4 linked regions of the Drosophila melanogaster genome follow. The gene in region 1 interacts genetically with each later gene. Each region holds a gene or a part of one and is shown in the gene's direction. Other genes may lie near its edges.

The links.
Region 2: of Snap29 (region 1) and Sec22, changing one enhances a phenotype caused by changing the other (phenotypic enhancement), as found in Drosophila melanogaster (one study listed by BioGRID).
Region 3: of Snap29 (region 1) and Vamp7, changing one enhances a phenotype caused by changing the other (phenotypic enhancement), as found in Drosophila melanogaster (one study listed by BioGRID).
Region 4: of Snap29 (region 1) and Syx17, changing one enhances a phenotype caused by changing the other (phenotypic enhancement), as found in Drosophila melanogaster (one study listed by BioGRID).

The regions. Positions count from the first base shown.
Region 1 is NT_033778.4:23,841,327-23,849,027, reverse strand, and holds Snap29 (Synaptosomal-associated protein 29kDa), read left to right. Parts: upstream 1-4,264; 5' UTR 4,265-4,381; coding exon 4,382-4,649; intron 4,650-4,718; coding exon 4,719-5,305; 3' UTR 5,306-5,545; downstream 5,546-7,701. Other genes in the region: ytr (yantar), read left to right, coding at 229-571; CG5554 (uncharacterized protein), read right to left, coding at 2,439-2,921, 3,088-3,262, 3,332-3,493, 3,697-3,869; shu (shutdown), read left to right, coding at 5,834-5,892, 5,950-6,700, 6,776-7,333; CG46398 (uncharacterized protein), read right to left, coding at 7,589-7,701.
Region 2 is NC_004354.4:801,472-810,360, forward strand, and holds Sec22 (secretory 22), read left to right. Parts: upstream 1-4,604; 5' UTR 4,605-5,013; coding exon 5,014-5,094; intron 5,095-5,161; coding exon 5,162-5,271; intron 5,272-5,497; coding exon 5,498-5,799; intron 5,800-5,882; coding exon 5,883-6,031; 3' UTR 6,032-6,729; downstream 6,730-8,889. Other genes in the region: CG13359 (uncharacterized protein), read right to left, coding at 474-1,955; CG13358 (uncharacterized protein), read right to left, coding at 2,450-2,531, 2,603-3,426; CG43867 (uncharacterized protein), read right to left, coding at 8,227-8,889.
Region 3 is NT_033778.4:9,836,219-9,844,231, reverse strand, and holds Vamp7 (Vesicle-associated membrane protein 7), read left to right. Parts: upstream 1-1,729; 5' UTR 1,730-1,931; intron 1,932-2,006; exon of another isoform or gene 2,007-2,064; 5' UTR 2,065-2,181; coding exon 2,182-2,385; intron 2,386-2,463; coding exon 2,464-2,692; intron 2,693-2,756; coding exon 2,757-2,824; intron 2,825-2,882; coding exon 2,883-3,038; 3' UTR 3,039-3,152; downstream 3,153-8,013. Other genes in the region: sting, read right to left, coding at 1-272, 329-428; Marc (mitochondrial amidoxime reducing component), read right to left, coding at 3,183-3,288, 3,362-3,648, 3,717-4,339, 4,398-4,404; Lsm11, read left to right, coding at 4,819-5,589; CG1663 (uncharacterized protein), read right to left, coding at 5,822-6,742, 6,801-7,043.
Region 4 is NT_037436.4:4,400,180-4,408,248, forward strand, and holds Syx17 (syntaxin 17), read left to right. Parts: upstream 1-3,307; 5' UTR 3,308-3,647; coding exon 3,648-3,716; intron 3,717-3,771; coding exon 3,772-4,018; intron 4,019-4,079; coding exon 4,080-4,669; coding exon of another isoform or gene 4,670-4,804; 3' UTR 4,805-4,989; downstream 4,990-8,069. Other genes in the region: slow (slowdown), read left to right, coding at 1,721-1,977, 2,046-2,464, 2,533-2,664; CG15019 (uncharacterized protein), read right to left, coding at 5,182-5,436, 5,606-5,791.

The DNA.
Region 1 (7,701 bases):
GAGACGTAAATATGGTCTTTAATGAAGCCAACCGACCGGTTGAGAAGTGTCGCATTTCGCGTAATTAAAACTTCATATTGCACAATCGGGTGCACAACGCCCAAGGTCGCCCCAGTTATTTCCCAGGCTCGTTGCAATTCGAATGCAATCAACTGGTCGGTCCTGTCACTCAAACGAAATCTATAGAACACTCACCACTCACTATGCACACACATTCATAATTTGCAGATCGCGGTCGAGGGTCGCCGGAGGAGGAGGAGGAGGAGGCGGCGGCGGAAGCAGCGGCGGCAACAGCAGCTCCGGACCATCGACGTCGCGAAGGACGACGAGGAACAATGCGGCGGCCACAGCTGCCGACCGGCCCAAGATCAACGAGGCGGACCTGGAGGGTAAATCGCCGGAAGAGGTCGAGATGCTGAAGACAATGGGATTCTGCACGTTCGACACCACCAAGAACAGGAAGGTCGAGGGCAACGATGTCGGAGAAGTGCATGTAATCCTCAAGCGAAAGTACCGCCAGTACATGAATCGCAAGGGTGGCTTCAACCGGCCGCTCGATTTCGTGGCATAGCAGTGCCTAGCAGCAGCCGTTGGCGTTGTCCTTGCAATTCCAATTGCCATTGGCCATCGCCATCGCCATCGCAGCAGCCACATCCTTTTCCGTTGCCCAACTAGTTTGCTACGCTTTTTTACTTGTCCGTGCCCAATGGGCAATGGGCGGCGGACGAAGACCTGCAATTTTATGCAATAGACCGGTTTACGAAATTCAGCCAGCTTTTGGCCCGTCAAAATTTCCACGCATCCAGCTAGTTCAGCACGAGGACAGCCTCGCCACACACATACCTCAATTAGTTATTTAGTAGTCTAAGCCTGAAGTGCGCCTTTGTTATAGAGTTGGCCGCCAGGTTAATTTTACAACAAAAGTCTGGGGCTGAAAGCCAGCCATCCCAGCCAGACGTTCTCGGATGGCGAATCTGCTTTCAGCTGCAGTCGACGACGCACGACGATTGCTTTTTGAATATTTCAAAGTAATTAACAATTGTTTTTGTTGACATCTCGCCATTTTGTACGCATACGAACGAATTAACTGAAGCCAGCCTGAGAAACCCAAATTCACAACAGAAAAATTTCCAAACTCACACACAGACAATTACTTAAAGTATTTGAAAACTTACCACAGCCCGAAACGCACTCTTCACATACCCATACCCTTATCCTTACCCATACCCATACCCATCCTCATCCGCATCCAGATCCCCATCCCGATCCCAACCGCAATCGAAAAGACCTCCCAACAAACTTCCTCCATACGCTGCAATAGTACAAGTTTTACAACCAAACAATATATATCAAATATATATTTAAATATAGAAATTATATATACACACACACCACAAGTACCTTATCCCCGCAACCCCCGAAATGAATCCAACAATAGCCATAGCAATTTGTTGAAAGAACTATTATTTGTTGAACAATCAAAATGTTGTAATTAATCCAGTTAATTCCGATTTCAATCACAAGTGCCAACAGATCAGGCAAGCAACGCTGAAGATGAATCACATTTGATACAGATTACAGATATGTATTTGTATAATCATTCTTTTGTACTCTTTTTATAAGATAGTAGGCATGAATTTTTGTACGCCTCAACGAGCTAACTATTTTAAGCAACAGTTTCAGTTACCCATTTCTTTGCGTTTGGAAAACAGCCACATGTATTGGAAAATTTGAACCATTTTGGACCAGCACCACTCACACACATCTTATAACAATTATTTGTAGTTTTACACACACGAAATTGCAGGGATTTTGTCTTATTTCATATTCTCCTACAATAAACTGATAATAAATTTGTAAAACCATTAATGTTCATGTTGTTTATGTGGTGTTAACTGTGAATGAAACTAATGGATTTTCCATTTCAAATATACATACGTGCATATGTGAAATTTCTTTGGGATCCAAATTATTTAGAAGCGCAAAGTAAACAAAGCCAGTTTAAATTGTATGTTTTTTTTTATTATTTTGTAATACGAAAATTTAATACAATTTGCGATTGAAGTACAATTACAAATGAAATGCTTAAGAGAAATGAATTGTGTGGAAACCAAGTTGAACACAAAATACAAAAATGCTTGGCAAAAGGTAAAAATATACGACTAAAGTTACATTTAGTTATTGTTACGCTTGCTATCGCTTAATGGATTGCAATTTTGCTTTACATAATTATGAAATACATGGGGCGCCGTTTTCTGGCTAGGATTAGAAGGAGGGAAAACAATCGGTTTTGTGCGCGAAGGCAGAGCAGACGGATTATGTCCGCTCGAATGATGCTTGGGTAAGAGGTTGTGTTCCTCTCGATTCAGTGTGTTAGTCTTTTTGTTGCCGCTTCTGATGATCGCTAAGGCTGAAGATCCGCAGGGACCCCGCTGCACCTAATCGCCTTTGCGAGGCTTGCGCTTGCGCACCTGTTCCGTCTTCTCGGGCGCAGCATCGCCGGCCTGCTTGGGCTCCGGCTTCTCTTCCTTTTCCGGCTCGCTGTCGGCCTCCTTCTCTTTAGTGGCCAGATCGCCCACCTGCTCCTCGCTGTCCTCTTCCTCTTCGTCGTCGTCCTCCTGTTCTTCCTCGTCGCTATCGCGTTGCTCGTCATCGTTCTCCTCGGCGTCGCCATCATCCTCGATCTCCTCGGTTGCCAAATCCTCCAGGCCCTCGGTCAGATTGTCCTGGGACTCGGAGAAGCTCTGGCGCTGCGACTTCTTGGGTGGGTAGACAAAGTCCACAAGGCACACGAGCAGCAGCCCCAGGGCAGCGCCCACGAAGATGGTGGCGATGGCGAAGAGGGCGTAGGAGCCCCACGTGGGCAGTCCGTATTCCTCCTGCAGGCGCCCGTTGAAGTCCTTAAAGAGTTTTTGCGTATGCTATTAGTACATGAACCCAACATACAAGACAACAGCAGAGAGCAAAGACCAGAGTAATGAGTGATGGGCGGCAATCTTTTGTGGGTCAACGGGATCAACCCGCTGATAAGCTTCCGCTTATGTCTCATGCAGTGAACCGATGCGATAATGGGCTAGGTGAACGTACCTTCAGAGTGTGCGAAAGCTTGAAGAAGTAGGACAGCACGGACATGTGGGTGGTGTCGGGCTTCTTCCAGGCGGACAGCGGTTCGATGCTCTGCCACTGCTGCTTCTTCACGAAGTAGAGGAGGGCGTCGCCATCACGGGCCCCACGATACTGCCGGAACTCGCCATCTTTTACGCTGGAAATGATTGACGTGGATTACGACGATGTGTATTTCATGGGTTGAAAAGGTCTATGTGGTGCTCACTGGTAGATGGTGGGGAGGGCGGTGACAAAGAAGCGTCCACTCAGCGAGGGCGAGGTTGTCACGTCGATTTTGGCCACCTGCACCTGGACATCCTTGGCCACGCGGGCAAACCGCTCCCAGGTGGGAGCCAGGTTCTTGCAGGCCGGGCACCATGGAGCAAAGCTGTGAATGGAGGGAGAAACATATGTTTAACACAGCTGCCGATGAGTCATCGTCGCCGCAAAGGAATGTCTGGTATTTCGGAGAACGAAAGAACCAGCTTGCCGGCTGGAGAAAGCCGGCGCACCACGCCCCTTTATGTTACGTCAGGGGCAGCGGGGTTTCATGTGGGTAGGGACTACTCAGAGCCACCCTTTCGCACTCACAACTCGATCATCCATTCGCCCTGGAGCATCAGGTGCCAGTTGTCCTCGTCCAACTCGATTAACTTGCCACCTGGCTGCAGTCCTGACTGCGCTGCTGCCGTCGACTGCGCCGTCGCCGCCAGCAGAAGCAGCGCCGCGCATGTCGCGGCCACAAAGTACGATGTGCTATGCATGTGGTGATGTTTTGGTGCTTTGCTCCGCCGATTCGTGTCCTGAAACCTGTGACGTTCGGCTGCGACAGTTTCTTAAATTAAACTAAAGCTTCCGTCTTGGTCAGTTCCAAAAAGTTACAGAAACTGCGACGCCTGCTGGAAAATTGACAGAAGTGCTGGTTCGATATCCATCGGAGATGGCAAGCCGCTTTATTCCCCGCTAGATCATCGGTAGGGGGATTCGGTCGGTATTCGCTCGTTACACGATTTTTTATTTATTAGATCAAGCTTCAAGTTTTCTTACATACAAATTCAATTTTTATCGTATCTTCAAAATCATTTTAATTATAATAACTTATTTTATTGAAGCCTCTGCAATGTCAAGCTATTTATAAGTCGATTGAACTGCATACAAATACTACATTTGTACCATCGCTATTGCAATCGATAACTCCAGACAACAACAAAGAAAATAAAAGTTTACGAAAACATAACAAAATTCGACATTTTGGAAGTTTCCCTCGCCACAAGAAATGGCCCATAACTACCTGCAGCCAGTGCACGATCACTTCGATGACGTGGACAGATTCGAGGACGTGGACGACGACCTATTCCTGCAGAACAAACGGACGGGAGCAGCCAAGCTTCCGCAGCAGAGGAGCACCAATCCCTTCGAGATGGATGACGATGACGAAGAGGAGATAACCTCGTCGCCATCAGTGGCCGCACAGCGACTGGCCTATGCTGAGAAGCGAAGGGCCATTGAGCAGCGAACTCTGGACTCTACCAACAAAAGCTTGGGTAAACATGGGGTCAATTGCCAGCCAATTAAGGGGCGTTATTGATGCGTCTCTCTCCTACAACCCCCAGGTCTGCTCTACGAAACCCAGGAGGTGGGTAAGGCGACGGCCGTGGAGCTGGCCAAGCAGCGGGAGCAACTGGAGAAGACATCACATCAGTTGGACGAGATCAGCTCCACGCTGCGCTTCAGCCAGCGCCATCTGACTGGTCTGAAGAGTGTCTTCGGCGGCCTCAAGAACTACCTTTCGGGCAACAGGGACCAACCACCCACCGCGACTGGTTCGCCCACGGGCAGTCAGTCCTCCCAGGAGGCCAATAGCAACATTAACCAGGGTGCCTGTGGCGGTGCTAGCCCCTCGGCTCCGCTATCACCAGCGGAGCGCTACGACAATCATCCGGTTAGCCAGCTGCGTGGTGATCCCAGCAGCACCTACCAGCCCCAGCGACAGGCGGCCAATCCCTTCCAGGCCCAGATCGATTCCAATCTGGAGGAGATGTGCAGCAACCTGTCGGTGCTGAAGATGCTGGCCACCGATCTGGGTGGCGAAATTGAGTCGCAAAATGAATTGCTGGATAACATGAACTACAAAATTGAGGATGTCGACTTGAAGATTCACAAGCAGAACAAGGACATGAGCAAGCTTCTGAAGAAGTGAACAAGCGAGCATTCGCATACTATTGTATTGATCATTGCTTAGAATAGCCCTCCCTTAATATACAAATCTTAGCCATACCATATCGCACGGTGAGCACTTCACAAGGCCATTAAGAATGCATTCCTCATTATGTTTCCTAGTTTTTTATTGTTACACACACCAAAACAATTCTCTCAATGGAGTGCTCGTAGTTGGAGAGCGATAAGTGTTCAGTTTTAAATAAAGATTCATATAAAAAGCAAGTATATCTGGCCTAGTGTTTCCCCGTCTGGATTGGAATACATTATACATTTTCGGAAGATATCTCGAGTTGCAGTGCTCGCGCCCTAATAAAGATATATAGTTCTTTGTTTGAATTCGATAACTTCCGGACAACAGCGACCAATCGATTCGCTAAAGCTATCAAGCAATCGAATTCCAGTTGATACCATCGCTGGAAAGCTCTTTTCTCAAACGCATCCAAAAGAATAGCGCCAACTCAGCGCATTCCGGAATTCGTTTCGTAAATATTCTGTAAATTTTGCGATAATGGAAGAAAACTTCGAACCGTACACCCCACAGTTGCTCAAGAATCCCTTGTCCTATTCGTGAGTAATAAGATACATATTAAAGGCACTCATGACCACGTGCAACTCATTCTGCAGGGATCTCGTGAAAAAGGGCGTTGAGTTCGAGGTCGACAATTCGCAGCAGAACCATGCCAGGGATCTGGGTCTCGACAGCGACAGCGACAGCGACTACGAGGATGCGCTGGACGTGGACGGCGAGGAGCTACGTTCACCGTGGACATATTCATTCGACGAACTGCGTGCGCTGATGAGCGAGATCGACGAAAACATTTACAAGCGGATCACTCGCACCGGTCACGTGGATCGGGAGGCGGTGCCGAACAAGGCTAGGGTCTCGGTTCGGTACAGTGGCTACTGGGAGGGCGAGACCGCTCCCTTCGACTCCTCCCTGCTGCGGGGCAGCAAATTCGTGTTTGAAACTGGCCAGGGAACGGTGGTTGAAGGCCTGGAGGTCGCCGTCCGCAGCATGCGTCCTTACGAGCAGGCCGAGTTTATAATCTCCTACAAGCTGCTTTTCGGAGAACTCGGTTGCCCTCCGCGGATCAAGCCCAAGGCGGATGCGCTCTTTAAAGTGGAGGTAATTGACTACTCGCTCATAGGAGATGCGAAGGGCATCGATGCTATCCCCCAAGAAGACCGCGACAAGTTTTGTGTGGTCTATCCGAAGGCTGTCGACTTGCACCTACATGGCAAGGACTCGGTGAAGCTCGGACGCTATCAGAGTGCAGCAACTGCCTTCGAACGGGCAGTGAGCTCACTGAACTACTGCCGAATGGCCAATGACGAGGAGGAGCGCAAGCAAACTGAACTGCTTACTACCCTGAACGTAAGTGGCCAACAAGAATAGCTTGCAGAGGCAGCGTTCTCGACCAGGCAGTTGATTCCTTGTCTCCTTTCTCAGCAAAACCTGATGATCGTTTACAACAAGATGAACAAGCCGAAGCGCGCCTGCATCATGATGAAGGCCTTACGGCACCTGACCATGGGCAATCCGTCTTGCAAGGCGCTCTTCCAGGAGGGACGCGCCCTGGCCGCTCTGGGCGAGTACAACTTGGCCCGCAACGCTTACCTGCAGGCGCAGGCCAAGCAGCCGGCGAACAAGGAGATCAGCGACGAGATTATCAGCATGAACAAGAGAATCAGCAAGTATGAGGAGGCCAGTCGCGATATATGGGCACGTGCCTTCTCGTTAAAGAACTCAAAGTCAGACGTCCGCAAAACGCCTGCTCAGCTGGAGAAGGAGGCAAAGGAACAGGATTTCAATGACAAAATGGAAGATTTGATTAGGCGGTTTAAGAACACTTCAGATCAACAAGTGAGCTTTTCACGTAAATCTTATTCGAACGCTCAGTTCGACGCGACTTGCAAATTGGCCAAGGAACACAACCTGAAGCTAACTTTGTCTCCCATCCAAGAGGATGTTCTGACATTGTCTAAGCCGGATGTTAAGTTCGCTTGAGCTTACTAAGAAGCCCCAGTATTTCATATTTCATATCTTACTCAAAAAAAAAAACATACCAAACATGAAGGTAATTTAGTTCCAAGTTCTAGAAGAGCAGTATCATTAGTTATTTCGATATTAGCAACATGAATATCGTAAGCCCAGACGAATGTTAACGTTTTTTGTTATTTAGAGCAACGTAGACCTTAAGTTGTTAAAAACCACAATAAAAGTAATGCACGGCAGCTACATAATCGTCAGGTACTACTTAATTTACTTTCCATTACTTTGCTCGAATTGGCGATGCAGGCACTCCAGGCACGCACATCCTTTGACATGTCCAAGTCTGGGCTCTACGATATGAACCTCCTGCAGCTCAAAGCTGT
Region 2 (8,889 bases), on another chromosome or scaffold:
TTAATGGATTTTTAGTTGGGCGGCCGGTATTTCGCCAGCAAAGCCATGCGGTCACACCGACGCGCGCATTCGGCCAGTTTAAACGTGGTGGGGTGGTATTACTACAGTGCTTGGCGAGTTATGCAGTGACTGCAAGCAGTATGTCGTGTTGCATACATACCTAAATTGGGGGACCCTAAAATGAATTAGAACGAAATAATTGACAAAAATATGTGTACACATATAATTTATTTGCAATGCACAATGCTATTTGCATGTGTGCGGTAAACTGACAGTGTTGGTTAGCGTTCAAGAGCATTGCACATCGGCGATATAGCTAGTTGTAATCGATAGCCGCAAATTTAAATACTGCTTTGAACTTTATGGAAATTCGCGGGAATTCTTCGCGATTCAGCTACTAACATACATACATATACACTATACAATTTAGAGAACTTGCTGTCGCAGCACATACGACCCGAGCTACGACGTGGCTAACGTAGATACCGTCTTCTGAACCTCCTGGCCAGGAGGTGGAATAGCATGTGTCGCCGCATAAAGGCCGCCGTCAGACCTGCCGCCGTGGACAGCTCGTGGTTTTCTTGAGAATCGCTGGCCAGACTGGAGCTCTCGAAGGAATTGGAGGAATTGAAAGAGTCAGAACTCTCTGCCTGCGTATTCTGATCCGCACCAGTTCTAGCACTTCTCCAAATGGGTGTTGAAGAGCCGTCGGACTTACAGCCACTGGTGTTGGTTCTGGAGTTCGGGATCTGGGTTCTGTCGGGATGCTTCTCCAGCACAAGGCAATGCTGTCTTTTGAACGGTTGACTAGCAGACACACCGTACTTGGCTATCGCGCGGTTGAGCTCAGGATCGGGGATGTATGCACCGCGCGACAAAGACTCCGTTTTTCCGATCGATTTTCTTTTGGAAATATACCCGCTGACATATCTTTTTGGTCTAGAGAAACGTCTCGCGGAGGTTGCCTTCTCAATAGTCAATTTCCTCGCGGAGGTTGCATTGTCAATGGTCAAGTTCCTCGTGGATTTTGCCTTGTCAATAGTCATTTTCCTCGCGGAGGTTGCCTTCTCAATAGTCAATTTCCTCGCGGAGGTTGCATTGTCAATGGTCAAGTTCCTCGTGGATTTTGCCTTGTCAATAGTCATTTTCCTCGCGGAGGTTGCCTTGTCAATAGTCAATTTCCTCGCGGAGGTTGCCTTGTCAATAGTCAATTTCCTCGCGGAGGTTCCCTTGTCAATAGTCAATTTCCTCGCGTTGGTTGCCTTGTCTATAGTCAATGTCCCCGCGGAGGTTGAGTTGTCAATAGTCAATTTCCTAGCGGAGGTTGCCTTGTCAATAGCCAAGATCCTCGCAGAGTTTGCCTTGTCAATAGTCAAGTTCCTCGCAGAATTTGCCTTGTCAATAATCAATTTCCTTCGCTCCGCCTCCTCCGTCTGCAAAGTCTTGTGGTGCACCTCAACGCGATCCACAAGATTCTTGGCCGCCTTCTGATCAGCTAAATTCATCTCTGCACGCACCTTGCGGAGAGCAAGGCAGTCAATGATGCTATGACTCTGCCAAGTGACCTCCAGGTCGGCGGGGATTGGTGTTCCCTCTGACGCCAAGCAGCCCTGACTCGTCATTACTTGTTTCTGGCAAATGTCCATGAACTTGTCTCGCCGGCTAAGCAACGCGTGAGGCGCCAGGTCCACATCCCCCAGTTTCCGGTGATTAAAGTGGGTGATTAGTTTTCCGGTATGCGAATTTACCCCCACGACGGTTGCGACATCGAAGTGCTCTGGACAGCGTATGCGCATCTCGCTGAGCGAGCAGGCCAAATCCAGATTTGACCGGCACCACACTACCATATCCTCCTCGTCGTCCTGTTGCGGCTCGACATAGGGAATTAACCGCTGCAAGTTCGGACGCGGCGTTCCCACGTCGCAGAGGGCATTAAAAGATGCAGAGCATTTCATTTCTAAATATAAAATTTATATTTTTTTGTACAAAAACTTCAGGCCAACTTATAAAACTGTGTGAGGGGAAACTGCATACATATTCGATTGAACTGAATATTCCAATCTTAGGATTCGAAAAATACTATAAATTGTTATGGCTAAATACTCGGGCTGATCGCTATCTTTATATGTACTCTTCAGACTGCTCTTTGTTTTAAAAGCTGAGCGATTTCAGAGGACATACAAATAGATGTACATATATGGCTTCACATGGCCATTGGAGCAGAAAAAGTGCCTACTTCAATTCGAAAGCAGTTAGTATGTCGCTAATCTATGACTGATTGCATATTCTATTTGGACACAAAAAAAAAAAAAAAAATTATTATTCAATAAAAAATAAAATACATAAGCAACAGTGGAAACAGCCTAGCAAGACAGCCTCCTTCAAAAGCTCGATCCTGGTTGGTTCGCCGGAAGGTACTCCGTTTTGGTCAGTCAAGTGATGCACAGGCTCACACCCGCCAGTCGCCGATGATTTGGGAAGAGGGCACCAGCTCGAATCGAGCGTTGGCCAGACTCGGTGGCACACCAAATCTAGAGCAAAAATGGAGGGAAATGAGCCGGCTGCCCAGATGACCACCTCTAGCGCTTTCGTTTCTGCTTACCTGGGACGGAAGAAGGGAGTTGGGTGGCCAGGGAACTTGGGAATGGAAGGCGGAGCAGTCGCCTTGGGCTGGACTTCCGGTTTAATCTGCTGCCTGACAGGGGCAGTGCCCGCATCCACGCTGTCCAGGGTGTTCCTCACCACAAATTGCTGCCTGGGCTGTGAATTGGATTGCGGTCTCGTTCGAGCTCCTGGCATGGGCAAAAAGCGAAAGAGCCGGGTAGAGACGCCGTCATCATCTGTCACGTCATCGGTGGACAAATCATCTCCTCCAGCCCCTCCGACTCCGTTGGCAGACGGAACAGCACTATCAGCTTGTCCACCGGCAAGCGGAGTAAACACGGCAGCCAGACGCACAGGCACAAAGGCTGGGAGCCGCACTGTAATGGGAGTGCCGGAGGGCGGAACAGCCGGTGACGGGATTGCAACGGAGACTGGTATGGGTGTGGGTCGTGGCGGAGGAGGTGGTGGTGGTGGCAGTGGAGGCGGAGGAGGTCTACGTGTGCTGGCATCCGCTGGCGACGCAGTCGTTGTTGTGGCCGATTCCTCCTCGACCTCCTTCCAGGCCTCCAGCAGGGTCAGCAGCTCATCCTTGCTCATGTGGCCGAGACCAACGGGGCTGTAGGGCCACTCGCCCACTCCGAGTCCACTACCAACACTATTCCAGCCTAAAGAGGGCACTTGTTCCACTTGCTCTACGTGACCCAGCGGAGTCTCGAACAGGCTCCTTTGGGGACGTGTGAGGAGCAGCTGCTGACCAGCCAGCCCATTGCACAGGATCTGCATGAGGAGACCCAGGAGCGTCGCACGAACTGACCCGGCCATGACTGACTTTGTATTGTGGAGCCTCTAGGTGGAGCAGTGGCTTATATATACATACCTGCTTTCAACGGAACGAGGAAGGAGGCCAAGCCGAGCAAAACGGAAGCGCACGCATTCCGCTGCGGGTGATCCGATCACACGATGAGAAAATAGGTTGACCGCAGTCCTCGATGGGCTCAGAGTTAATTGAAATGCATTCGATTTAAGATCACAGTACAAGCATTTTAAATAATGTCATAAGCTTTCCCGCTTTGATCACAAACTTGTGTATATCTTAGCATTCTTCGGTATGAGCAGAAATGGGAATGGTTATTCGCATTCGCTTGCAGGGCTTCAATTCATAATATACATAGATGAATAAGTCGCATTCGATATGAATTATTTTCCCAGTGCAAAGATTTTTCCGGTGGTCGCTTGAAACGCACATTCGCACGCAGCTCCATCGCCAAGTACCACAGGTAGTCCATATAGTTGGGTCCCTGCCTCAAGTCCAAGTCCGGTTTCGCGGGCGAACCACTTTTCCTTCTGGGGATGGATGTGGATGTCCATGCAGAGGATGGTCTTCGCGGGCGAACCGGTTGGGCTTGGTCATCGACTTTTGGGGGGTCCAACCCACTTCCGGCATCTGCGCCAGCGGATTTGAGTCTGCGAAAGCGGCGCGACGTGCCAGGGATTTCGATTTATGTTGGTTAATAATTTAAATAAATATTTATTTATATTTAAATATTTGAAATAATATATTCGCAACTCGATTGCCAATATAAAAAATAAAAATACCAAAGACCAATTGGTCGGATTGGGACTCAAAACAGCTATAGAACAATGCATCTGGGCGCCAGGTTCATGGGTGAATCGAAGTATTGTACTTCTATTGAACTTCTGGGGATCCTTAATCCGCATCCTGTGTACAACACACGCATACAAAAAGCAAACTCCACATTACAGCAGAGCGCAAGCTGTCAAAGCTGTAGACCTGGGAAAATAGCTTTGCGGGAAAGCCCGGAAACTCGAAAGCGCCATTTTCAGGGGCATGCTGGCTTGAAAACGAGTTGAAAGCGTATTTCCATATCGTGCATTTAAAGAAACGAAGAAACGAATGGTATAATGGACTTCCGTTAATGTGACCGTTGGCGGTCGGTACTCTGAGATACTCTGCGGTATTCGGTATGCCTCGCACCATTCGGTATATTTACACGGACATACCGGTGACGTGGTTACATTGCAACAAACATCCACAGAAACCTCCAATCCACTCCAATCCCAGACACCCGCCCGCCGCGACGTTGCAACACAGTTTTCATGGTAGCAGCGAACGTTCCCGATTCGAGGCAGAGTCCATTTGGAAGTCCCGGGCATCGCAGGAGCACTGCGGCAAGCACCGACCGATCGGCTGAGTTGTGAAATCCAAGAAGTGGAAGAGGACGACCGGACACAAACTTCACACACTGGTGACTGGACTGCAGCGGATCCACATCGGAATAAGTAGCAGCCAGTGGAAGGAGGCGACGGCAGAGTGCAGCCGTGGCCAAGAAGACTTGAGACGCAGCCCCGTAGTTCCGCGAGCAATCGTAACCAGGAACAGCAGAAGCCATGGCGCTGCTGACCATGATAGCCAGGGTCATCGATGGCCTTCCTCTGGTGGGGACCATGCAGGATGACGAGCAGGTACCCGTGTGCATCACTTTCTAATACGTTGCATTCCGTTCCGCTCCCGCAACTAAGTCGCTTTCACTTTCAGAGCGGACGCAGCATACTGGACTACCAAAACCAGGCTAAGATGCTCTTCCGCAAGCTGGGTACCCACTCCCCGGCTCGATGCAGTATCGAGACCGGACCCTACCTATTCCAGTGAGTAGCCCCAATTCGTGGCACCTTTGCCAGGGCATAGACCATTAAAATCACACCATGTACAAAGGTTTCTCGGCTCCGCGGGTAGTCAGTGACAGTTGATTTAGTTTCGGAACAAAGAGTATAGATGTAATTTGATACGAAGTTAAATTAAACGCTCACTGCTTGCGAAAGCCAGAAGATGCAATGGGCGCCCCAATTAAAATATTCCACATTTTCCCTGCAGCTACCTAATCGAGAACGACGTCTGCTACCTGGTGATGGTGGACAAGATGTACTCAAAGCGACTGGCCTTCAATTACCTGGAGGACCTGGCCCAGGAGTTCCATGCTAACTACGGCCGGCGAGTAAACTCAGTGACTCGCCCATACGCATTCATCGAGTTTGACGTGTACATACAGAAGGCGAAAAAACAGTTGACGGACCGCAGACGCAACATCAGCAACATCAACACACAGCTGCAGGATGTGCAGCGCATCATGGTGCAAAACATTGACGACGTGCTCCAACGTGGCACAGTGCTGGCGGGTAACTACTACTACTACTATCTACGCGACTATCTACGCGTGATTGTGGGATTCAACTGACGTTCACCCCGTTTTTCCTTCCAGAACTCGACACCAAGACCCAGAACCTATCGATGATGTCACAGAAGTACAAGAAGGACGCCAAGCTGCTCAACCGAAAGTCCATGTACGTGAAGGCGATGGCCTTGGGCATGATACTTCTAGTGTTCATCATGTATTTCTGGGTTCTGTAATATCAAGCAGTTCCATGGCCACTCGGAGCGGCGCGTTCTTTGTTGGAGTCAAGCGTCAAGGACGCAAGACCAAAAGACATTTAGATTACGCGTGCACCTGTACTCCACGCCACCAACCACACCATATTCATTCATATCTATGAATCATAGGCAAGCGAAAAGTGAATAGCGAAACCCCCTACCAGCATACGCATCGCTCCCGAGGATTGTTTTACTTCTAATATTAACTTACCTTTGCGTTATTTACGGTCTGGGATTCCATTAATTATTAACTCCCATTTCATTTCGCCTCGCGCTTCCGTTGCGCAGGTTTTCTAAATATTTGATTACGAATCGGGTTTAGTTTAGACGACCTTTGAGCCAAGTCGGTTGACTACGACCCAAATCTGTAAATTATGAGCGTCGATCCGTGTGTGTGTGTATAAATGTCTAGATTGTAGATGGATCGCTGCATAGCGAATCCGAATCCGGCGGAGTGCTTGATACAAGCTGCAAAAACACCGCAAAAAACAAAAGAAAAAGAAAAGATAACAAGCGAACCGAAAGAAAAGAAAAGAAGAGAAAGGGAAATAAACAATAACAGTTTTAGGCAATTTATATGTGTAAAATTAAGGCAAATAAATAAATTTATATTGTTTAATAAAGAGAAGGCAAAACTGTGTTCGATGCACTACCCAAGCCCGAAAGATAGAAACTGCATCTGATTTTTGGTTTAGTTTTAATCGATAATTTCCCTTTATATATTTTTCGATTCACTGAGTGTGATGTGATACATTCGCCTTTATAGTTTATATCCACTTGCAAGCCTTCGAATTACGATTCTTCTCAATGAATTTCTCGATCTGATCCGATCCCGATCCCATTCGGTCTCATATCGTCCCGCTAAATGTCCGTTTTCGTTGCGTCTCAGCGCATATAAATTTGTAATATCAAATCTTTACAATTAGGAAAAAAATGCGCTGTTGCCATATACACTGCTATATCGTAATTTGGTGTGTATAGTTTTGTGAAATATCGAATCCGAATACATATATACGCTCTCTACATAACTACATATGAATGCATATGCTTTGTGGGGGGGGATGTGTGAAATGGTCTGCAATAATTAATTAACTGGGGAGAAGAGCAATCATCTACCGAATTTTGCAACCTCCTCTGGCTTCCGTGTACTAGGCTGTGGTTCTGCTGAAGCTCTGGTGGTGAGTGGGATCGAAAATAAATTACGCGGTCTATAAAATCGAAGTTTTAGTTTATGCGAAAACCATACGAGTCGGGCGTGGCGGGGCGGGTCGGGGCGTAACTGGAACTATTTAGATATACAATAGATGGGTATGCTTGGTTGATAGCCCGCACTAGGCTCAAAATTCTTTAAAAAATATTTGCTTTTCTCAATTGGATTCTGCTAATGCTACTATAGTTCGCTTGTTTTGTTTTTTTTGGCTTCGTTTTGTATAACTATATTTTTCTCGTTCTTGGCTCCGACATCTATACAAATTCAGAAGGCAGTTTTGCGCGTGGAGGGACAATTACAAATTGAGATTCATTAAAAAGCATCGAAGAGCAATAACACTCAAACATATCATTTTTATAGGTGTGTTTTGCATTGCCTTTACTTGTATGTTGGTTTGAACTATGAAAAATCAAAAATAAATAAATAAGTCAGGAACAATCTGAACTTTGAGATTCTTGTTCTGTTTTCGTTTCTACGCATACCCTCATGCACTTTCGGGTACGCTGGGCTTATGACTATCAAAAAAAAATAATATATAGTATATATTTATATATATATGCCTGCTGCTGCGGTTTACAAAGTAGGTTTAGAGTACGGGTACCGTCGTTAGCTTAGAAAATAACTTTAGTGAGTGGTGCGCAAGGAGAAGAAGGTCCATCCCAGGCCTATTAGGCTAAGTCGTATTTTTACCGCTATCGCTATCCATCCGTCTATCTTTATATCTTTCTATCATTCTATCTTTAGTTTCATATTTGTAGCCACTAGGCCGGTGCATATGTATCTGTTAGTTGTATATGTCTGTTTAGCTGTGATTTTCCACCTTTATGTACAATGTGTGATCCTTTAGCTCTACTTTAATCCTTCTTCGCTACTCTCTAATTTCCTCTTTTTGATTATCTTTTCCGTAATCCTCAACGTGCAGGGAACCATCGTTCTTCTTGAGATCCTCCAATCCCACTCTTCTCTATTTAATCCTCTGGTGATCCGGTGTGCTCTTCAGGATATCAGGCTGGTGGTGCTGCTGGATATGGTGGTGCTGATGATGACCCGAGCTCAGAGTGCCCGGTTGACTTCCCCCGCCGGCGTGATGGGAGCTGCTCAGCGTGTGCGAATGGTTGGAGTTAAGCGTGTGTGTCGCATGCGAATTGAGCGTATTGTGGGCCGTTGTGGTGGCATTTGTAGAGAACCCGGTGGCCACCGCTGAGCCACCACCCAAGTTTGGCCGCTGGGAGGTTCTTAGCGAGCGATGCGACCCATTCCTCGTCAGGGAGTTCATCTGCGGAGTCCCGGGCACCGTGTGTCCCAGCGCATTCATGTAGTCTGCTATCAGCAGTGTGATTTCCAATATTTTCGGCTTGCTCATTGCGAAGAGAAGCTTTTGCTCACCGCCTCCGCCGTCATCGTGGGAAACCACTAGCATAAAGTCGTCCTGGCAGCCGCCAAAGGTCATAACGGAGCTATACGGATACCTGGCCACCGGAGCCATTGTGGACAGCTCGAGGACATTGAGAGCATCTTCTGCGACAGCCAACCAAGCTACCGGGGTAGCTCCCGAGGCGGTGTTGGATTCTGGACTCTGTCTGGGCTTCGCCTGAAACAAGCAAGCTCCGAAATATGGCCACTTCCG
Region 3 (8,013 bases), about 14 Mb from region 1:
CCAGTAGAGCGGCATTTGGAACAGAAACAGCGTCGTGGGCATTACGTTCCTGTAATTCCCGGTAACCGAAATTCGAAAAAAAGCTACGAGAAGGAATCCCACAATCAGGTATATCGATCTGTTGTTATACGTGCACGAGCGCCGCAGGATTATCCACAGCCGATCCTCGGGCAAATAGTACCGCCCATTGCTCCCATATTCGACGACACAGCGGTACAAGCGAAGGAGCAGATCAGCCAAGAACACGGTGGCTACAATGCGAATAGAGGTGTCTGCAACGAATCACGACCGTAAAGATAATTTATGGCGTCCATCGGTCATCACTCACCAATATAATCTCCTATCATCTTTCGAAAATAAAAATATTTTCTGCCTTTTTCCGCGCGAACCGCGTTCCCCGCTTCGACAACGTTGCTAGCGATTGCCATTTCGTCTGCATACATATGTACGTCTCAAGGGTTGCCAGATCGATTTGGAGATCTCGCGAAAACTTCGCTGGAATTTCAAATGCCGTTAAATTATATATAAATTTGTTTATTGGGCTTGCATAGGTATACATAACTGAATTTGGGCTCCTAAATATTAATTACATTGCGTGCACATACAAATGCACATATTTATGTATGACGGAAGCAATGAAGGAACTACATTGTTATATCTTTTTATTATTATTTACTTTTGTGTTTGTTTATCAGGTATCAGATAAGATTTTATCAATATAGCCTCAAAGATTCGTTAATCAATTTGTATTCGAAATAAAACTTTAGGTAACAATGTCCGGTTCCGACTATCAGATACATATACAGACATGAAATCTGCTGACTGTAAAGCTCTCCGCCCTCTGGAACAAATATTCGTGAGAGCCGGAGCCAGCTCTAGACTCCTCCCAAAAACGCATATTGTTATTCTAGTGTCTTTGGTAAGAGGGTATACTAGATTCGTTGAAAAGTAAGTAACAGGTAGAAGGAAGCGTTCCCGGCCATGTAAAGTATATATATTCTTAATCAAGATCAAAATAATAAAAAATAACAAAGATAATTAAACATTAACAATGGTTAACCAATTGGTGGTTAATTAACCATCAACAATGGTTAACCATTACGCTCTTACTCTGCAACTTAAATACTGATAGCTACACCCTAAACGAATTATAAGATTTGATAAATGATCTTATTTAAGCATGCTTATTGTGTTCTAATATTAAATTCTATAGAAACCTTATCCTGTAAAAGGCTCAAAAAAGTGCAATCGTGCCATATTTGTGGCCAGAATAAATGAGAATTCTAAGTCTTTTAAAATAAGTAATTTTAAATCGAATATTTCGGCAGCATATGCGCATATTGAAACTACGTATATTGTATCTTGCGTGTGTACATAGTTTAAGTTATTACCTGCGGTTTTTTCTGTCAAAACGAATGGATCCAGGCTCAAAGATCTCAGGAGCAAAAGCTTGGGAACGCTATTAATTTAAATTTACTTTAATGGAAAATTCTTTGTCCGGGGAGAAGAATCTCAACTGGATGAACTGATGCTCTCGTCAATACTGAAACGCTATCGGTGGGATGCCCCTATTTAAGTTGCGGAGATCATTTAATTTAATAAGCAAATGCAAATAATCATAAGACCGTATAACATAATTTGTAAAACACGTTATGCAGTGTGACCGTGCGATAAAGCCAGACTTATCGGCTCCATTAAATATCGATGCGTCGATGTACCGTCCTTCCACCTCTAATTTTATAACTGCATCGAAGCGTCAGCAATTGTTGTTATTTGTAATGCAAAAATCGAGCTAATTCCACGGTATTGTGATGTTTTTATTGTGTTCGGCAAAAGCAATTGAAAATCGATAATAACTTAAGCCGCTTACCACAAAATGTAAATCTGCAGTTGCGCTATCAACTCGAGGCGGATCTAATTGGATAAACAAAGCAAGTACTTTGATATAACAATTTGCATATTACACATATATACGTATGTTACTCATAAACAGAGTTATTGTTCAGATTGATAGGCTCGCAATTGGATAGTAGTAGTTTCTAAATCGATATGTACATTTCTCAGAATCCGAGAGCACGTCATCATTGACGGATCGTCGGCTCATTCCCCGATAAGCAAAACAAAGCAGTAGCCTGAGGAGCTGAACAACCGCGCCCTTAGCAAAGGAGAATCTGTGGCACCATGCCGATACTATATAGTGTGATATCGCGGGGCACCACAGTGCTGGCGAAGTTTGCGGAGTGCGTCGGCAACTTTGCCGAAGTGACGGAGCACATAATCGGACGGATCGGGGTGCATAACCACAAGATGACCTACACACACGGAGACTACCTGATCCACTACACCTGCGAGAACAAACTGGTCTACATGTGCATCACCGACAACGTGGGTGAACGAACCACTGGCCCAATTAGCCACCTCAGTTGCTTATTGCCCAATCGATAACGTATCGTTTCTTTGTAGGAGTTCGAACGGTCGCGGGCCTTCCTCTTCTTGGCGGATATCAAGCAGAAGTTTATCCAGACTTACGGCCTACAGGTGGCCACCGCCATCGCCTACTCCATGAACACCGAGTTCTCCAAGATCCTGGCCCAGCAGATGGTCTATTTCAGTCAGTCCCGGGAGGTGGACACCATTTCGCGAGTACATGGTCAGATTGACGAGCTTAAAGACATTATGGTTAAGAATATTGGTATGAAGGAAGGAAAATCCGTATGTTCTTTTTGTTTACTATTCCCTTTTCATCCCATTTGCAGACAGCTTGCGGGATCGCGGCGAGAAACTAGAGCTGCTCGTCAACAAGACCGAAAACTTGAGCAATAATGTAAGGTGATGCCAAGCAGAGACTTTTAAATGTGTTTTTCATTTGATCTCTCTTACAGTCCGTTGCATTCCGTAAGGCCTCCCGAAATTTGGCTCGTCAAATGTTTTGGAAGAACATCCGCGTCTACGTGGTGGTGGGTCTGGTGATAACCTTCATCGTTTACGTGATTGTGAGCATGGCCTGTGGTGGCCTCGCTTGGCAGTCCTGTGTTTAGGACAAGCTTTAAAGTTGTTTATATTGTTATAGGCTCATAACACATGTATATTTGCATATAAAACTCTACAGTACTCTCATCTATGTTCTATGTAATAAACTTCAATGTATACCGGATAAAGTGTTAGAAGAGATAATGGAATATTCACTTGTCCTCCACATACACGACGTCGTTGGCCTTCACCTTTCCCGGCAGCCGAAGTCCCATATGAACGCCCAGAGCCGGCGAACTGTAGTTGAACAAGCGATAGCTGTGGATTCCAGATATGAGGGTCGGGTTTTGTAAGTCGTACTTCTCAGATATTTCCATGGGTAGTGACTCACCTTCTGAGCGTTTTGAGAGGCTCTCCTTCGGAACTCCTCTCTGCGGTCTTCGCATTAATGTTGGTAAAAATACAGCGAGTGCATGGCGCCACCGTACGGAAAACAGCATCTTCGCCTATACGCACCCACTGCCAATTGTCCTCGGCATAGGGCTCATCAACATCCATTTTCAGTTCGAAGTTACCTCGGAACTGCAGTGCATCCACCGGATTCTTTAACCGAGTATTAAGATCGGCGACCGACGAAAGGTTCATCAGCATAAAGCTGGTGGCATCGTTAAAAGTGCCCTATGGAAAGAATTCAAATCAAGGGTGATCTGGGTCCTAACACTTCGAATTGCGCATCAGGAACATACCGAGTCCTCCTGTCTAATGAATGGCATGGACTTTAGGCGGGGATTGGTGCATCTCACTGGTTTCGGATAGGGATAGTGAACTAGCTTGAGGCCGCTCTCCTTCTTCAGGATGGCCTGGGAGAACCACGTGTTGATCCGATCTCCGCAGGGCATCACGTCTATGGAAACGCCCCAAACGGAAGTTTTCACATCCTTGCCAGGACCGTCCAGCTTCTCGAAGTCCAGCTCCAGGTCTGGCATGTCCTGGGCGCTGAACACAAGCTTGCTGGGCGACACCTTCTTCGACTTGATCTGGGTCATAAGCGGATACACCCGAGCCGTGATCATTTCGTTCTTTTCATTGACCACCATCAAGGTGCGATCCCTTATTCCCTCAAAGGACATGCTCAGTACATCGCAGTCGTACTCCACTCCGGGCTTCGAGATGTCCATAGGGGCACAGGACTTGACCGGAAAAAAGTGTATCCTCTCCACGGTGCCCACGCGTCGCCACTTTTGGGGAACCACATCGCGGGTCAGATGGCGGTACAGTAGGAAGCTAGCCCCGCCCACCGCCACCAGGCCCACGCCCACGGCCGCCAGGGTCTTGGGACTGAGGTCAAAGGTCGAGTTATTTCCGCCGGCTGCAGGATAATCCACGTTACTTAAGGATCTCCCAGCTAATCCCGGTTTTTCACTCACTTGCCATCTCCTTTGCGCTGTAACACTTGTTGCTTTCTCTGAGTCAAAAGCTCCACTGATTAGGTTTATTGGACAAAAAGCTCTCCTTTGATGAAGATCTCTTACCAAGGCTGGACAACACATGCATCTATGTATATCAGCGGTCATTTTGACAGTAGCAACTGATGATAAGGAATGTAACCTGGTTCTTAGTGCTATTTTTCAGTGATAGGGTAGACTTAATACATTTATTTTTAAATTACCATCCCCGCTCCCTCCAGGTTAATCGATAACTGTTATCGGGCATGCAGCCGGCGAATTCGTGCTCCTTTGTTTACATAACAATTGCAAGAAGCCTGTTGCCTTTTAAGCGGAAAAAGAAAAAAATTTAAGGTTCTTTGTTCTATCAGACTTCTATCGGCAGACTTCGGGAATCAGTGTCATGGAATCGAGGGACCGGAAAACTTCGAATGAGGACGACTCGTCGGAAATCTCCGAATTGGATGTGGGCAGTGATAGGTTTAATCCTCTGCGAGCGTTATACGAACCCAATTTTAGGGTGACCGATGCTGTTCCAAAGGTCATCTACCAGAATCTGGCTGCCTTCGAGAGTGCACTTAAAAAATTCGGCATCTGGCAGCTGAACAAGCGCCAAAAGCCGGGATCCGCAGAAGGAGGAGATCAGGGGACATCGAAAAAGGCTTCCACTTCCGAGGCTGTAGATATTCTACCTCCTGAGCGACGTTTTGAGCCGCACCAGATGCCTACCACTAGTAGCAGAAAGAAGCATCATCGAAATATTTTCACCTACATGGAGGCAGCTGTCGGTCCATTGGAACTCCTAACGAAGTGTATATCCCCTGCTAGCCACAATGAATCCAACGAAAGGAGAAGAGTTCGGGTGGTGATTCGCAAACACGGATCGGTGGGCGGCAGTGTCGAGGGTGAACTGTTGGCCTTTGACAAGCAGTGGAACCTCCTACTGAGGAATGTTACCGAAACCTGGAAGCGACGAAAGTACAATTACGGAGAGCAAAACATATGCGACACACCTGTTGATTGCACAGGCCGCCTCAAGGAGTTGGGTATCACTCTTCCCAGGACTGTAGTCAAAAATCTAAACCGAAAAAACGTGGAGATTCGGCGAGAGCTCCCACAGATTTTAATACGCGGCGAGAATGTGGTTCTAGTTAGTTTAATACCAACAAAATAGTGTATAGCTTATTAAAAGTCACCTCAGATAAAAATCGCGTAGGGTTCTACTTAAAAAACTACAGCAGTCTCTATTAAAGTAGCTAAGAATATATGTAAATTATTGATATATATAATTAAGTTACGCTACAATGTATACAAATTAAGTTATATGATATATTTCCATTTAAGGTTTGAAATCGTTTTACTTTTAAAGAAATTTAAACTACTATTTTATATTTTTCGAAACGTACTTAACTAACGAATCTGTTCAATTCCTCTGGATCATCGTCCTCATATGATTCCATTTCTTCGCTTTGGAGGTGAACCAGTTTATGAAGCTTCAGCAACTCCAGCGTCTTGAATCTCCGCCAGCAAAAGTCGCAGGAGACCTGCCGCGCACTGTTACCGTCGTGAATTTTCCGGATGTGACTCTTCAAGGTGCTATTCTCTCGAAATTGCCGGCTGCAGTGCGGACAACATAGTTTCGGTTGGTCGTGAGTTCGCCGATGAACGGCCAGGGCGGAGCTGGTCTTCGAGCTGTGCCCGCACAGCTCGCAGATATAGTTCCTTTGCCCCGCGTGCATGGCCTGGTGCTGTTGGAAGTCCCACTTGGAAGGTGCATTGTAATCGCATCTGCTGCATTGCCACTCCGGCCGCTTAAAGTGGTACCGTGCCTGGTGTTGTTCTAGCTTGGAGGCGAGTGGAAAGCTCTGGTGGCACACATGACAAACATTCGGATTGGGTCCCCCATGGACGCGGAATTTGTGCAGCCGTAGCAGGCGCTCGTTAAGAAACCGTCGGTCGCACTCCTCGCAAATGGTCACTGATATGTGGTTCGTGGGCATGAATTTCAGCAAACTGTGGTAGTACTTTGGATAGCGACAGCGGAAGTCGGAGCTGCTCAACTGCATTACATACTGTCGCTCAAACCAGACTTGCAGGAAACGGGCACTGGCATTGACCACCTTTGGGTCCAACTGGAAGTGAAATCGATGGAACAGGGCCTCTGCCACTTTTTGGGAACTATCCATGCGATCTTTTTTATTGATCCCGTGCTCAGTTATCCAGAAGAATTTGTGTCTCCGCAGTTGCTGTATGAAGTACTGAATAACTCCGGGGCTGGTGCGCTGCAGGCTGTAGAAGGCTTTGTGGGGTTGGTTCGAGATGTAGTCCTGTGGAAATCAAAGAATCGAAGTCAAGCAAGTGTCATTAATAACCAAGGCTGCTTACATGGTGGCTATTGCTTGCGAGCTCATCATGGCCCTGCTCTTTCTCTGGTGAAAAGTTTGGTTCCACCTCCTCTTCCATAAATTCTACATTTTTGAAAGATTCCTGTACCTCCGCCAACTTGGATTCCTGAGCAATAGACGCCGCCAAGAGATTGGTCATCTCCACCTGAACCTCGTCCTGGATCTCATCCTCATCTGCATTAAATCCACTTTCGTTTCCATGCCTTTGAACCAGGTGCTTCATGAATTCCTTCCATTTGTCACCGCCAAAAGTGTCCACATTACAAAGGCAGCATTTGATTAAAATTGAGGAGTCACTTCTCATGTATACGCGTGCACTTTCTACATAATGCTTCTTATTTGAGTGTTTTGGTATCATGTCCTTAGAATCTGCATGCAATTTATTCCGAAAACTACACATTTTATGAACTAAGTATCGTTTTCAGGTACGATTTGTTTTCCGATAAGTATTCTCATTTACAAGCGCAAGTGTTGGAAAATTCGACTTGGGCCATAGACTTATCGATAGGTAGTTGCACGTCTTATTCGAATTCAAATGGCAGACGACACTCGGCCAAAAAGCAATTTTTGTTTTCGCTTTGTTTTGCTCTTCTTTTGTGTGTGAACTCAAAGGACGGGCTTTGTTGCCTTACGCACAAAAAGTGCATATTGTTGGCCTGACAAAGCGGTAAAAACTTGCGCTTTCATTCATTAAAACTGGGACTGTTGCTGCTTGGAGCGTCGCTGCTGCTTTCGGAACTGCTGTTGGCGCAGTCGCGATCCCGAGCTCAGTCGAAAACACGTTACGCGCCTGTGCAGAGCGTTTTTGCTCTATCCAAACGTTTCCGATCCCATCCGATCCAATCCGATACGATACGATCCGATCCGATCCCATACGATACAAAGCCAGCGGATTCGAAAGTTTTACACCGCGTGCAGCAGAAGCAGCAACAACAGCAGCAGCAAAAAAAGCAACAGCAATAACAATTCGTATGTTTCGTTTGTGTGTTGAAGATTTAATTTTTTATGCAAAGCAAACGACGACAGACTTTTCGGCTGGTCAACAATTTCTATTTTAATTGGCAGTAGCGCCCAGCAATTTACCATAAGCGAATGGAAAGCTGACAAAAGTCACCGACTCCGGTTTATTGTGCATAATCAAGCCAATCAATGTGTTTTCTTTCGTCCACATTATTTGCCATTTTTGCCATTTG
Region 4 (8,069 bases), on another chromosome or scaffold:
CAAAACATATTAATTGATTTTTTTTTGGTGCACTGAATCCGATTGGAGATTTATGCAGCCAGTGGATTGGAGATGGAAATGGGAATGAGCATTCCATGTTGCACTTTGCTGCTGGCACAGTTTCTGCTTTTCGGGAGAAGACTTCCGCATTTTATTTAGCCGTTCTTGTTATTGTTTTCGCTGGAAATGGAGGCCAGTATCTTTGGTTTTGGCTTTGTTTGGCGCCCTTAACGCTCAGAATGCTGGCGCATAAATAACGTGAGAATTATGGTACAAGAGAAGCCAGTTACAGCAAGCAACATACAGGGAAAAAACCCAAGAAAGAACAGGGCATAAATATGCATGCGCGGCAATAAAGAAATTGGTAAATGTCCCGGTCGCAGGACCATTGTGGCCAACTGTGTGCCACTTTCCGCTTTTAAATCGCGAAATTTTGGCCAGCCAAATGGCCAGCAAAAAGACCAACCAACGATCGCAGCAGTCAGTCGTCACTCAGTGGCCACGTCACGCGTTCGCAATTGTTTTTGGCCCGCATTGCCAATTACGACACCATCAGCCACCACCAGCATCAGTTGCTGCAGCAGCAACATCAGCAGCAGCAACTGCAGCAGCAGTAACTGCAGCAGCAGTAAGTGCTGCATCAAACAGCAGCGTTTATTCGCAGCCCCACAGCCTGCCAATTTATGGGATGCACCTCGCTTTTGGGCCAGTTTGCCTCGTTTTTTGGCAACCAAAATCAAAAACCGCTTATTATCAGCGCTTTTTATGTTTGACTGCTTGGGGGCCAAAGGTCTTAGGAGCATTGGCACTTCGGTTATTGGATTTTGGCTGGGTTTGAGAGGCACAGGGTCATATATAAAGATTTATTATAAAGTGTGAAGTTGGGATTGTACTTGAGTAGTAAAAACTTCAAATGCTCTTATGGGCTTAAATTTGTAATAAAACAACGGCTACAGCGTTAGTTCCGAAAAATTCCTGGTAAGGATCTAAATGCTGAAAATATTATGTTCAATAGAAATATTGGCTAATATATAAACATTTTAAAAAAATTACTTTTAGTCTGATTTTTATCCTTTAAAACATTAAATTGGTTACCTTTTTTTGAGTTAGAAGTACATACATTTTTCGCTGGAAAAAATTGCTAAATTTGAATTTGTTGCACAAGGCAACCGAATTGGATAACAACTAATATGGAATATCCTTGTGATATTTCTGTCAACAGTTTGACAAGCCTTCAAATTTGGTTTGACAGCCACTGAACTGTCGGTTGCGTGAACTGGAGCACTTGGTTGCCAGGCTGATAGGCTGCCAGGCTGCCAAACTGCCATCTGGCTGCTCCTCCATATCCGAGTCCGAGTGGCGGGCAAACAAATGACATGGCTGACATGGCTGCAAGTCATCGGCTGGGAGCGTGTCGTGTTTGTCATCGCAGATACGCGAACACGCTAATATCGTAGTCCAGTCCAATCGAATCCAATCCAATCCAATCCGCTGGCACTTCCAGACACATGTGACAATTGCCCAGATCCCACTCCTAAAAACAACCTGTTGGCCGCTCTGTGTCGTTATGACTGTAATTGGGCGAAGTCGTCTGGAAAAGTCAGTTTCACTTTTGCAGATGATGAGCCGCTGATTTGGGTCAGCCACACCGCTCGAATCCATTCCAATCCTATTCGATTCACACCTCGCTCTGGTTTGTTTTCCTTGCTACTCATTGCAGGCGGCACATTTGCATGCAACAGCGAACGGTTACGATGCCCGTGAAGCGAACGGAGGTCTACAGTCGTCCCACCTGGAAGCACGTGGCCACGCCCTGCCAGCCGCCCACCTTTAGTGGCCAGAAGTGCACCAGGGTGCAGGTGGTCCACGAGCAGGCCTACAGGGACGTCATCGATCACAAGACCGCCCAGCAGATGACCTACGACTGCTGCACGGGATGGAGCCGGGAAAACCCAAGGTCGGATTCGTGCATGAAACGTGAGTCTTAAACAAAATACATAGATTGCAATGAATTTGGAATATTTTTATCTTCTAATTATTTACAGCTATTTGCTCCGCGCGCTGCCAAAACGGTGGCAATTGTACGGCTCCTAGCACCTGCAGCTGTCCAACTGGTTTCACAGGACGTTTCTGCGAGCAGGATGTGGACGAGTGCCAGACGGAGAAGCCATGCGATCAACAGTGCATCAATACGCATGGATCTTACTTCTGCCGCTGCCGTCAGGGATTCGTTCTCCAGTCGGATCAGCAGAGCTGCAAGAAGGTGTCCACGAATGCGGACGATGCGTTCGAGGCTCGGGATCTGGAGAACGATATCGATGATACGGACGCGGAGGTGGCCACGCGACTCCAGAAGATCGAAAAGTCCTTGGCCAATGAGCGAGTGCACACGAACGAGCTGCAAAAGTCGCTGCAGGCCACCTACAGTGTGGTGGACACACTCAAGAGTCGGCTAAGCACGCTGGTAAGGATTAGAGTTGAACTTCTATATTTGAATATTCATACTTTAACGATTACTTCGTATGCCCTCAGGAAAAGCAGGCTCAGGATGTCAGTCGACTGCAGACGAATCTCTACAAGACAGAGTCCCGGACGAACAAGCTGGAGGGTATGCTGAACCTGCTGCTGAAGTGCCGGAATGGCCCCAATGCCAATTGCCCCTAAACAGAACTGCATTTCCCCACGCTATTATTAAATGTTAGTTAACTTAATTGACCACTCCGTTCATGTGTAGCTAGATGCTCCTGCTTGTAAGCCATTCCCGAATGCGAGTCGAGTGCCTCTGTAGTCTGTAGAATTAGCCCACGGATCGGGCTATTAGTACTTAAGCGAGAACGTGTGTCATAAATGTATCGAGATGTGAAGTTTTAGACGTAAGCGCACCACCGCACTCTGCACCGCTCTTCATGTGGGTGGTGCAGTGATTAGTTTCTGCATGTATCTGTATATAATTTTAATGTATATGAGAAATCACTGCACGAATAAATGCATTTTCTGATTTTAATGGGTCTTTCATGGGATATTTAACAAAGGAAATCTATTTATCTGGAAGTTATCATGAAAAAAAAGGTAAAGTGCTGCAATATTTACTTTTATATATTGGCTACAACTTAACGCGCAACATAAAATTTGGTTATTTTTCCTTTTAAATGCAATAATGGTGAGTCAACAACTATTTTTATGACCTCGGCTGTAAGCTGACCTTTTAGCGGGGATTCCCACCAGCGGAGACAATCGATAACTGTAAGAATAATATCGAGTGTGGGCAAGGCTGCGCAATATTCGCTAGTATCGAACTGATTGCCATCTCTATCACCAATAACAAACAAATAATTGGACTGCACAATAGAATTATTATCAGTATAAATATAGGGGACAAGACCAGCATGATTGGAACCATGCCACCGTAGTTTCATTCACAACAACAAAGCACTACTCACTGGAAACATCCCGAAAAGCAAGCAGTGACGTCACTGGCAAAACAAAGCAAAAACTGCGCAGAAAAACCAGGGAAATCTGTTAAGCAAGGTCCATCGTTAAAAAGGGGCGGGGGGTGTTACAGAAACTGATCCCCCAGATTTCACTTTTACCACAATTAAAACTGATTAAAAATCAAAGCGCTGCGAGTTCAAAGTATTCAGTTCACGATGACGCGCGATGAGAAACTGCCACTTAAACAGGCGGAGGTCTCCATCCAAAGGTTTCAGGATGTGGCGGTAGGTTATTTACTATATCTTCTGAAGAGCGGAACTAATTCCTTAACACTCATAGGTGCCCCACCATCTGAGCCTACTGAAAAACCATCGCAGCAATATAGAAAAAAGCCTGGCGCTCGGCGACTGGCAAAAAATCAAAAAGGAGGAACTCAATGCTATGAGGGTCATTAAGCAGATCAAGAATCTACTTCTGGAAATGGATGCACTGCGAGAAAAAGTACGGGAGGAGGATCTGGAACGTTTCGACGACCTAATGAAACCTGGCAGGGATACTGCCTTCGCTGGCATGAAGGAATTTGCGGGTAAGTTTGAAATGCCATCTAAATTCTTTCGGCTTTACCAACACACCTACTGTATTTTTAGAGCTCCAACTCAAATCACCCACCTCCACTTTGAGTTCTCAGTACGACGACGATCTGGACAATCAGCCACAGGAGGTGGATATGAACAGTCTACCCGCACACCGCCACATGCCCCAGCTGCAACTCAATTTCCAGCTGGAGGAACACCAATTGGCGCAGAGGCAAGCCTGCCTGGATCAGATGGAGAACCTGCAACAGGAGATCTACGATCTGCACGGGATGTTCCAGGGAATGCGTCAACTGACTGCAGAGCAATCAGTGGCGGTGGAAAAGATAGCAGACAATGCGGAGGAAGCTCTGGAGAATGTCCAGCAGGGCGAATTGAATCTGCGCCGGGCGCTCACCTACAAGAAGGCCATGTACCCCGTAGTCGGAGCTCTTCTGGGCACCTGTGTGGGAGGACCCATTGGTCTGGTGGCGGGCATGAAAGCTGGAGGATTGGCGGCAGTAGGATGTGGCATCCTCGGCTTCACCGGTGGCTCTGTGCTAAAGGCCAATCCCAATGTAATGCATGGCAACATCGAGGAGGAGCAGGTGGAACCGGATAGCGAGTCAACTGAGAGACTGGAGCTAAAAGAGAAGCCAGAATGACCCGCAGGAGGAAGTGCCCGATCCGCATCCACGGCTCTGGCCACCACGCACATATGGTCGGCGAACACACGACGTTTGGAGGCAGCCACCAACGGAGTGATTTGCAGCGTGCGCAGCTATTGTTCCGTTCAGTAGAAATTTGACCACGATTTTAGTTCAATATCCCCATTTTGTGATTTTCCACGTGCAATAGAGCTAATGAGCATAATGTAACTGCACTTTAGTTTAAGCGTTGGATACTTGTTGTTCACATGACACCGCAAATGTGTGTAGATTTTAAGGCTTTAATATGCAATAATAACTCGTAGCTTTAAAAAAGTAATGATACTATTTGATTGCCATGTTGAGAAGTTCAGACTATATCTGGGTTTTTCAGAACTTGTTTGGGCTTTAATATGCAATATATACTCTTAGCTATAACATCTTTGTAGAAAAAGCCTACAAAATCTCCTAAACTAAGCGAGGACTTATAAACTACGATAAGATACCAGATGGGTAACCCAGCCCCGGATTTATAGGGGAACATTAACCGTGGTCCAGGCCTGTTTGAAGTTCTTCTTCTGCGAGTGCTGCTTCTTTCTTAGACGCTTGGCGGTCTTCTTCTTCTTGAACCACGCAGGATAATTGCCGTACTGATCTTTGAGGGTCTTGCTGTTGAAAATGTGCTCCACGCCCGTGTTCTCGTTGGTCACCTTGACTTTCTCGCCCTTCTCCAGACTCTCCTGGTGCTCGTAGATCAATTCCTGCTCCTCCTTGGATTTGGCCTCCTGTTTTAGGAATACAATTTCTTCTTTAATAAGGATATAAAATACGTAACAAGAATGAAGGTAGTATCGCGATAAACTAAGCCGGTTTTTCGCATATTACATGCATACAATACATATAATACATTAGGTAAATTGGTATATTTGTAGGTGGGTATATCACATAACTAACCCTTTTGAGCTCCTTGGCGGTCTTAATTTCGACCACATCGCTTATATCCTTCATGATCTCATTTCCATCGGCATCTAGGAGTCCCAGAGTTTTCTTCAGTCGAATTAACTCCTTGGCTTCGTACCGCGCCTTCTTTATCTTATTCATTTCATCACGACGCTTTCTCGAGCGATTGTTTCTGCCCATTTCGGTAGTCGGATATTAAGTAATACCAGAAAAAGTCAAAGAAGTAAAGAAATTGCGTTCAATTTGCTAAAAACGTAAACACGTGTGTTTTTGCTAGAGCTGGAAAACTGCCCGATTTTTCTTCGATTTTTTTCAGCGGGCTCTTATCGATAGCGCAAATAAATTAATCGACCAGGGCTTATTTTTAGTTATTTAGCCGCCAAGATTAAAAATTGTTTTTTTTTTACTCTCGTTTTTTAAATAGTTTTATATACTTTCTATGTAAAAGACACTTATCTGTATAGAAATATGTGTCATATTATTTAATTACACCTTATGTCCTTATTTTCCCTAATATGCTGTAGCGCTGTTGTATCAATTATCAGGTACATAAATTTTTAAAAACCACAAAATATATTAAAACATATTAAATTCTAGTTTTTATGACTTTGCCTTTAATGCATATAAGTTATAACTTTTTTAAAAACCACAAATTAAGCTTTTGTGGCTTTTTTCCACTTCCATTTTCGTTTCCATTCATCTCTTTCTTCCCCTTTTCCACTCTGTATTTATTTACCTTTTGTTCTCTCTCCTTTTCAGTATATATATATTGCAATATGATTTTTGTATACAAACAAAATCAGCTGCTGAAGAGAAAATGAGAGGCTTGCCAAATACGAAAAGTAACTAAAATAGGAAATATAGTCGTTGTGAAATGCTCTACACCGACTAGATTTTTAATACACTAAATAGAATTTTATAAAAAATATATGATTGTACAAAATGCAATAGTTTTCTCTAATAGCTAAGACAATGCATATAATAGTTTGTTTAACAGTTTAAAAGAATTCGGCTTAAATGCACTTACTTTTTAAAGACCTTGATAAAAAGGTTTTCACAAAGAGATAGACTGTAAAAATGTCCTAGCTATTTAGCCAAAGTATAAGGTATTGTTAATGTACAATACAATGTGTTTACTTCAGTGACATAGCTGAGTTACTTTCGATTTGGATAGAGCATCCGAAGAGCCTCTCTTGCACATGCGCAGCAGCAGAAAGAGGCAGAAACAGGGTAAGTGTGTCGGGCTCAGCTGTAGAGCCACCAATACATGGGTAGCGCACCAACACCAGCGAACAGCAGAGGCACACAGATAGGGGGGCAACCAGCTTGGTTGGCCAGTTTGTAGACCTTCTGCCATCATTCGCTCGTCAGTCGTTGTTGCTAGCATACGTCACGGAGTTCCTGTAGCGCTGCTCTTCTCCGCACTCTCACCCCCGTCAGTTAAGCAAAAACGGAAGTAATCAGCACAAAAAACAATAAGCACGCCAATTAAAAAACATTTCGAAAACTGTGTAAAAAGCCTTGCTGGTGCAAATTATTGCAGAGAATACGGGTAGATTCCGACACCGATCGATCAATAAACTCCGCGCAGCAAGTAAGTGCAGTTTTAACCCCCCCAAAGAAAAAAAGCAGAAAAATACTGAAGCGGAAGTCCTTCTCCAAGGAAAGGACATTACACTCACACACGCACCAACACATGCTCAGATATGTTTCTCAAAAGTTCTGCTGCAAGCCGATTTACATGTACACACATCCCAAAGTGCAGCCCAGCGATACATACGAAAAAGCAGGAAAAAATTCTGATTGCACCTTCGCATCCAAAGAGTTCACACTTTTGCGGCTGTGTGAGTTTTCCTTGGCTTTCGGCCAGGCCAACAGTTTTCCATCTCCACATGCACTTACACACACACAAACACCGATTTTCCCCCAAATTGTATTTGGCTGCAAATCGGCCGAGTTTCTTGTTAAGGGGATTTCCATTCTGGGCATCTAATAGCCATAAATTTGACTTGCATCACGTTTTCAGCATTTTTAGCGATCGTTATCAGATCCGTGCCACATCTCAGATCTCTGGCATTTCCCAGCTGAGTGCACTGCTAAAAATTTGCCTAAAACCATCTAATGTAGAGCTTATTGGAATAATGAGTGTATAGAATTAAATGCTAACATAAAGCGTTCAGAATTTCTCATACTCTTTTTAGAAAAATTTCTCTCTGTGTTCAGACTTACATATTAGCTGCTGCACTTTGCCCCACGATCGAGTTATATATTTTTTTTTGTGCAATCATTGTGTGTTCATGGAGTGTCAACTGGTGATGGCAAGTGCAATGAATGTTTCGCTGATTAACATCTTAATTAGCCTTGCAATTATTTCCTCAACTATAATATTATGGCCAAAAAAAATCTCCTGGATGCCTGCCAACATTTGCTCAGATGTTGAGATCCGAGAGGCAAACGA